2 linked regions of the Oryctolagus cuniculus genome follow. Each later gene encodes a partner of the first gene's protein in a complex. Links are inferred from orthologs where the notes say so. Each region holds a gene or a part of one and is shown in the gene's direction. Other genes may lie near its edges.

Region 1 (3,508 bases):
TTTGGGAGCCTGTGTGTGTTGTTTCTTCCTTGGTCTCCAGGGCTTCAACATCAGCCACACACAGACTCGCCTGCTGTCCATGGCCAAGCCTGTGTACCACGCTATCACCAAGCACTCCCCCAAGAAGCCTGTCATTGTCTTTGTCCCATCACGCAAGCAGACCCGCCTCACTGCAATCGACATCCTCACCACATGTGCAGCAGACATCCAACGGCAGAGGTGGGCCCGGGCCTGGGGGAGGGTGAGGGTGAGGGTGAGGGAAGTTGGCCCACCCTGAAGGGTGCTCTGTTGATAAGGGTCGGCGGTAGCCCCATCAGATTTGGGGCTAGGGCTGCTTGGCTGGTAGCTATCTGCCTCAGAACCGAGCCACTCTGAGCTGAGTCAGTGCTTACGTCACTCAGGTTTTTGCACTGCACGGAGAAGGATCTGATCCCATACCTGGAGAAGCTAAGTGACAGCACACTCAAGGAAACACTGCTAAACGGGGTGGGCTACCTGCATGAAGGGCTCAGCCCCATGGAGCGACGCTTGGTGGAACAGCTCTTCAGTTCAGGTAAAAAAAAAAAACACCTCATGGTGTGGAGTGAGATCGTGTCCAAGGCTCCTACCAATTGGCATGTGTCAGACTTCAGGGTGTGGGTGATGTTTTCCCACAGCACACTCGTTTTTGAAGTACTGTTGGGATTATTCCATCACCTTATTTGATCCTCTCAAGAACCTTGTGGTATAGGGGGTACAAATATCCCTACTCTTTAGATGAGGAAACAGGCACATCTAAGGTGTTAAAGTCTAAGACTTTCAGCACTACATGGTTTTCCATGGATACCTGACTCCCTAAGGTGGGTGGATCTCAGACATTAATATGCAGTAGAGCTCTGATTGTCCCTTCAGCGGTCTCTTGGTCACTGTCCCTTGTTTACCTATGGCGTTTCAGAGTGGTGCCACTTTGATACTGCCTGGTGGACCTGCAGTGGCCCTGCCAGAATCACTGTCCCTCTTCCACACTTGAGCCTGTCTAGCTTGGGGCATGCTCATGGTTAGTTCGATTTTGCTTCCTTTTGCTGAGCTAGCCTGTGGCTGAGTTGGTGTTAGTACTTGCCACTGACGGGGCCAGTCCTTGCCACTGTAGTATAAGCCTTGCTTTCCCTAGCCTTTGGATTCTGTTCCAGGATAGCCTCATTTCCTCTGGGATGGTCCTTGGAGCAAGGCAGCAGTAGCAGGGTTACCTTTCATGTAGCGCTGTTAGGTCTCTGAGTCATGTCAGACCTCAATCCCCACCAGCCTAGCTCTGAGTTCTGAAACAGCTGCCTGTGCATGAGACAGAGATCCTGATTTGTCCAGAGAGCCCTGCCTTGAGTCTTCTTTTCCCTCTGCTGCTCAGGGGCTATCCAGGTGGTGGTGGCTTCTCGGAGTCTCTGCTGGGGCATGAGTGTGGCTGCCCACCTGGTGATCATCATGGACACCCAGTACTACAATGGCAAGATCCATGCGTGAGTATGGTTGGGCTCTGCATTAACAAACTTCCCTCCTGAAGTGAACTTAGTCTGCAGACGCAGAAATGAAGATACTATGAAGAAAAAGTATAAGGGAAATAAATACGCAGCTGAAATTCTACCGCAGCCATGTGCTGTGAGGATTTTGTCTTGGAACTAGTTGCACATTTGGTTTTTAGTTATTTTCATATTTCAGCGTGTGGGAGAACCAGGAAGTTAGAGCCATGTATTAGCTTTATGCATTTGATTAGCTGTGTCTTACCTGAGAGAATCTGCTTATGAAGGAAGTTAATTTTTTTTTAAGATTTATTTATTTACTTAAGAAGCAGAGTTACAGATAGAGAGGTCTTCTATCTGCTGGTTTACTCCCCAAATGGCCACAAGGGCTGGAGCTGGGCCTATCTGAAGTCAGGAGCTTCTTCGGGGTCTCCCACATGGGTGCAGGGGCCCAAGCACTTGGGCCATCTCTCACTGCTTTACCAGACCATTAGTAGGGAGCTGGATCAGAAATGCAGTAGCCAGGACTTGAACCGGCACCCATTTGGGATGCTGGTGCCACAGGCAGAGGCTTAACCCACAATGCCACAGCACTGACCCCAGGAAGTTAATTTTATTTAACAGTTTTGGAGGTTCACAGACCAAGATTGGGCATCTCCTTTGGTCTGGCATCTGATGGGCATGAAGGGTGTACAGAGGAAGGTTTACAACTTTGGGGATTAAACATCTGTGTGAGTTGGATAGGCAGATCTTACTCAGAGCATAGCAAGCCAGGAGGAATGCTACAGGTTATGTTGTTAATCTGTTTTATAGGTTAGGAAGACTTCATAGACTTGGTCATGCCCACACCCTGTGTAGTGGCAAGTAGAAAGTCCAGTCTTTCTTAGAAAATGAATAATTTAATCTTTTCCTTAAGATACAGATTATTTTATTTTATGGCTTCATTTTTAATGCCTGAATCTGCTGCTAGGTTTGGGTTTAAGTCAGGTAGCTTGATAACTCAGAAAGTACACAGCTATTGTGTTTGGAAACCTTGACTTGCACATTTGATCCTTCAGTGGGGAAATATTTTGCTTCTTTTTTTTTTTTTTTTTTTTTTTTAAGATTTCTTTTGAAAGGTGGAGTTACAGAGAGGGAAAGACAGATCTTCCATCCACTAGTTCATTCCCCAAGTGGCTACAGTGGTTAGATCTGAGCTGATCCAAAGCGGAGCTTCTTCCAGGTCTCCCAAGTGGGTGCCGGGGCCCAAGCACTTGGGCCATCTGCAGCTGCTTTCCCAGGCACATTAGCAGAGAGCTGGATTGGAAGTGGAGTAGCTGGGACTCAAACCGGTGCCCATTTGGGATGCCGACGCTGCAGGCAGCAACCTTACCTGTTACGCCACAGTGCCAGCCCCATATTTTGCTTTTTGACATTAGATAGGTTTGTAGCTTTGGTTCAAGCAACAAATACATGACCCTTACACTTAAAAACTGAAATATCAAATGAAACTAATTTCATCCATAAAAAGTTCATAAAGAGTCTTGCTATATTTGACCACATGTCCCCATGTTTGCACTTTGATGTGGAAGGCAGGCAGGCTTCTGAGGAGTCCCCCTGGTGATGCATCTCTTGCTCTCCCCATCACAGCTACGTGGATTACCCCATATATGACGTGCTTCAGATGGTGGGCCACGCCAACCGCCCTCTGCAGGACGATGAGGGCCGCTGTGTTATCATGTGTCAGGGCTCCAAAAAGGTCAGTGCTGGCCTGGGTGACACCACCTTCACATGGATTCTCTCATAAGCCACTAAGCCACATGGAGCTCCGCTGCCTTTTAATTTGCTATTGCTGTTGCCACTCTCTGTTGAAGTCTTTGCCCACTGGATGGCGCCATCTTTCCTCACACACTGCTTACTGTTCTGCCCATGTGACTTAGTGTGTCCCGTTCCTGCTGTAGATTATAGCCAGCAATGCCACATTTTGGACATGTTTCTCTTGTTTTTTTTTTTTTTATTACTCGTGTGTCTACAAAGAA
Region 2 (4,067 bases), on another chromosome or scaffold:
CGCTGGGTGTCGCCGGGCTCTCCTGGAGTGGGGTGGGAAGGGGGCCCGCGAGTCCACCTTGGTGGGAGGGCCCCGATCGGGCAGCTGCAGACGGCACTGGCTGGGTGCCCACAGCACACCCACGCGTCCGGCGCGCGCCGTGTGCATCTGGGCCTGGCTGAGCCAGTGCGCCCCAGGCAGGCTTCTGAGGCTTTGCAGACACCAAGGGGCTGTGCCAAGCAGTGCCGAGGCTCCTGGCGGCCCCATGGCCAGGAGCAGCAGCACCCATCAGAGGGACCGGCGAGGCACTGCCCTGGTCCCGGCGCGGGAGCCCAGCCCAGCCTCCGCAGGCCCCGCCCTCGGCTGGGCAGCCCGGATAGCCGCGCTGGGCCCGCCGGCCCGGCTCCACCTTCAGTATCCGCACTGCAAAGCGCAAAGCGGCTGCACGCATTTCGCAGGGTTCTGAGAGCCTCCAAGGCGCCTGCCACGTAGCAAGCCACACAACCCGAGGGCCGTCTCCCGACAGCACGGGCCCGGCCGGCCCCTGGAGACGACACGGACACTCGGACCTGCGCCACGGCCGGGCGCTGCAGGAGCCCCGCGTCGCACGTCCAGTGTACGCTCCCGGCACCTCTCCGGGGCGGGGCGCTGGAGGGGCGACCCAGCCCGCGAGCTCCCGCGGCCCTCGGGGTCGGCGCTGGGGCTGTAACCCGCCACCGCCGAGCAGCGGTCATCTTTTGTCCCGCAAGAGAAAAACGCACGTCAGGGCCCCCGGGAAACCAAAGCCACAGAGCCCCGAACGCCACGCGCAAGCCTCCAACGCCGCGTCAGAAAGCAACCCGGAGGCCGGCCTCCGTCCCGGCCTGCAAGCGGGGCGCCGGCACCCCAGAGGCCCCTCACGGGCGCCGGCCGCGAAAGCCAAAAGTGGCGGCGGCGCCGAGGAGGAGGCCACGGGCTCCGCTCACCTGGCCGCGGCGTGCGGCGCCGCTGGCCCGACCAGGCCCCGACCGCCCGGAGCGGGGCCAGCTGGGGTCGCTCCTCAGGAGAAAGGCCCGGCCCCCCTGAAGCAGCCTGCGGCGGCCCGGAACTCACCTGCCGCCGCCACAGCCCCCGCCGCCGCCTGTCAGTCAAGCGAGCCCTCCGCCGCGCTGCGCAGGGTCGTGCAGTCCGCTCGGCCGCGCCCCGCCTCCTCCCCCACAGCCGTCCAATCGGGCGAGGCCGGCGCCACGGGGGGGGCGTGGTCACGCGGGGGCGGTGCTGGTCGAGGGCGGGACCTGCTGGTTGGGGGCGGGGCCAGAGGGGCCGGCGCTCTGACATCACTGCGGCGCGCCGGAAGCGGCCCCCTGCCACTGTCCAGCGGCGGGGCGCCGGGACCGCCGGCCCGGCTGCCGCTATGCCAGTCACCGGGAAGACTTTCCGGCGGCGCCGGGCCGACTCGGAGTCGGAAGAAGATGAGCAGGACTCAGAGGAGGTTCGGTGCGTTGGGGGCGGGGCTCGTGCAGACCCGGAGCAATGTGCTTGGGGGACTGACCGCCGGCCAGGCCCAGCGCGGACGCTTGAGAATTGGGGTTGTGGACGGAGAAATTGAGGCGCCTGGGGGTGAGGTAGGAGCCCCAGGGCCGGGCAGCTGCGAGCGGGCGCGTGGAGGAGCTGACTGCGGTGGGCCCAGGCGCCGGGTCGCCCTCCGGCCTCGGCAGCAGACTCAGCCTGTGCGTGGTTTTTTGTTTTTCCAGATTAAAACTGGAGGAGACCCGAGAGGTGCAGAACTTGAGGAAGAGGCCCAACGGCGTGAGGTGGGTCCTGCGGACGCGAGGAGGACGGGGCAAGGGTGACGGACACTGCCGGCCAGGGACCCGCGTTCCCGGCCGCGACGCTTAGCCGGGACGTGCCCTGAGCCCTGTAGCCCGGGGCTGTGTCCCAAAGCTACCGCACGCCAGCAACTGCCCCCGGTGAATATGGGATGCCGGCAGTGCGGGCGGCGGCTTTAACCTGCTGCGCCACAGCGCCAGCCGGGACTCCGGTTCGAGTCCTGGCTGCTCCACTTCTGATCCAGCTCTCTGCTGTGGCCTGGGAAAGCGGTGGAAGATGGCCCAAGTGCTTGGGCCCCTGCACCCGCGTGGGAGACCTGGAGGAAGCTCCTGGCTCCTGGCTTCAGCTCGGCGCAGCTCCAGCCGTTGCGGCCATCTGGGGAGTGAACCAGTGGATGGAAGACCTCTCTCTCTGTCTCTCCCCCTCTTTCCCTCTCTCCCTCTTTCCCTCTCTCCCTCTTTCCCCCTCTCTCTCTCTCTCTGTCTCTACCTCTCTCTGTAACTCTTTCAAATAAACAAATGAATCTTTTAAAACAAAAAAGATTTATTGATTTAAAGGCAGAGTTACAGAGAGAGAGATCTTCCATCGCTGGTTCACTCCCCACATGGCTGCAACAGCTGGGGCTGAGCTGAAGCCAGGAGCCAGGAGCTTCTTCCAGGTCTCCCACGCGGGTACAGGGGCCCAAGGGCTTGGGCATCTTCTACTGCTTTCCCAGTTGCACTAGCAGGGAGCTGGATCGGAAGTGGAGCAGCCGGGACTCGAACCAGCGCCCATGTGGGAAGCCAGTGCTTCAGGCCAGGGCGTTAACCCACTGCACCGACCCCAGAAAACCTTTTTGAGGGATGTTTAACATCCCAGCAGATGTACAGACTGTAGTCTGTCAGCAGCTCTCCTCCTCTGGGACACGTAGGCCGTGTAAATGTGCACCAGCCGTAGAGCCGCAGTATTATTCTCTTACACTTGTCTCCAGCTCACCTGCAGAGTCCCTTTCGGCAAAATCTTGAAAATGAGATCGCCAGGCCAGGGTGGTGTCCGCTGGTGTCCACCTCACTCAGCACCCCCTCCCCAGCACCCACAGTGCTCGTGAGCCCTGGCTCGGTCCTGGGGTCTTCCGCTGGCTCTGGTGTCTGCCTCTCAAATGCCGCCCTAAAGTGACGTCGCACCTTCAGGCCTGAGTGTGCCTGAGTGGTCTCGGGGTGTGCGAGTCCTCTCTCCTCTCTGGTTCTGCTCAGTGCTGCCGCCCTGCTGGTGGGAGAGAAGGTACAAGAAGAGACCACGCTGGTGGTAAGTATGGGGTCCTCCGCGTGGCCGCTGTTCCGTGGCCGGAAGCCCCGCCGCGTGTGCAGCTGCCTCCCTGCGCCGTCTGCTCCCCGCAGGACGACCCGTTCCAGATGAAGACGGGCGGCATGGTGGACATGAAGAAGCTGAAGGAGAGGGGCAAAGAGAAGTAAGTGCGGGCGGGCGGGGCGGCCCCTCGGCCTGCGCCCAGCTCCACGCGTGCGCCCGGCCGTTCCGCGTGACGGGGCCGCTTCTGCAGGAGAGAGGCTCACCCAGCCCACAGCCCTGGTTTCTCAGCCGCGTCTGGCGGTGGCCTGAGGTGGAAGAGACAGGCAGTGGCTGGGCGTGTGGCCTCTGCTTCTCTGTCCTCCCAGCCTCACCAGGGCGCGCTCGTGGGCGCCCCCTCTGAGCACCGCCGGCCTCAGTACCTGACCCTGGGATGGCCTGTCACCACGCGGGCCCTTGGGACCGGGCAGAAACGACACCGACTGGCAGCGAGCTCGGCGGGGGCGGGGGTGCCCCTGTGCCCGTGGTCTCTCGACCCCTGGGGGTCTAAGAGTGCTCTCAGATAGTTCACAAGCTTAAGGACCACCGCTCATTCCCCACGGGGGCGCCGGAGGCCCTGGTCTCCTGCCGGGCGTCCTGGGCTCCTCCGCGTGTCCCGCCATCCCGCAGCGTCTGCTTTCTCCGGCCCTGAGCAGGGCGTCTCCTGTGCTCGGCCTTCCTCACTGCGCAGCGCACACACACACACACACCCACGCACACACGCACACACGCCCCGCCCAGGGTGACGGCGGCTCCGCCCACTCGGCTCTGTCCCCGCTTGCAGGATCAGCGAGGAGGAAGACCTCCACCTGGGGACGTCGTTCTCCGCAGAAACCAACCGCAGGGACGAGGACGCGGACATGTAGGTGTCTCCTGGCCGCGCCCTCGGAGCTGGCATTTCTAGAATTTTCCTGGAAGACACCGAAGTTGCCCCTCCTCCCGCCTCTCGGGCTTGA

What was found. Proteins that work in one complex are often made in the same cells at the same time.
Region 2: the proteins of SNRNP200 (region 1) and C1H9orf78 are in contact, whole or in part, in a cryo-EM structure (PDB 7OS2), measured with the Homo sapiens proteins. The link is inferred for Oryctolagus cuniculus from reciprocal best matches to the Homo sapiens genes SNRNP200 and C9orf78. Residues at the interface, in NP_054733.2 of Homo sapiens: Val1188, His1189, Leu1190, Gln1191, Glu1201, Pro1283, Ser1285, Arg1287, His1288, Leu1289, Asp1729, His1730, Asn1769, Tyr1770, Asn1772, Gln1774, Gly1775, His1780, His1784, Leu1788, Gln1791, Asp1795, Gln1798, Ser1799, Tyr1826, Thr1827, Glu1830, Leu1831, Met1834, Ser1835; in NP_057604.1 of Homo sapiens: Arg5, Lys6, Ile7, Phe8, Arg9, Arg10, Arg11, Glu16, Ser17, Glu19, Glu21, Asp23, Ser24, Glu25, Val27, Arg28, Lys30, Leu31, Thr34, Arg35, Val37, Gln38, Arg41, Arg43, Pro44, Asn45, Gly46, Val47, Ser48, Ala49.

Annotation. Positions count from the first base shown.
Region 1 is NC_091433.1:111,300,521-111,304,028, forward strand, and holds part of SNRNP200 (U5 small nuclear ribonucleoprotein 200 kDa helicase), read left to right. Parts: intron 1-40; coding exon 41-219; intron 220-401; coding exon 402-553; intron 554-1,381; coding exon 1,382-1,490; intron 1,491-3,119; coding exon 3,120-3,228; intron 3,229-3,508. UniProt on the Homo sapiens protein: Catalyzes the ATP-dependent unwinding of U4/U6 RNA duplices, an essential step in the assembly of a catalytically active spliceosome. Plays a role in pre-mRNA splicing as a core component of precatalytic, catalytic and postcatalytic spliceosomal complexes.
Region 2 is NC_091432.1:232,670,272-232,674,338, reverse strand, and holds the start of C1H9orf78 (splicing factor C9orf78 homolog), read left to right. Parts: upstream 1-1,259; 5' UTR 1,260-1,372; coding exon 1,373-1,455; intron 1,456-1,712; coding exon 1,713-1,772; intron 1,773-3,020; coding exon 3,021-3,072; intron 3,073-3,164; coding exon 3,165-3,235; intron 3,236-3,895; coding exon 3,896-3,973; intron 3,974-4,067. UniProt on the Homo sapiens protein: Plays a role in pre-mRNA splicing by promoting usage of the upstream 3'-splice site at alternative NAGNAG splice sites; these are sites featuring alternative acceptor motifs separated by only a few nucleotides. May also modulate exon inclusion events.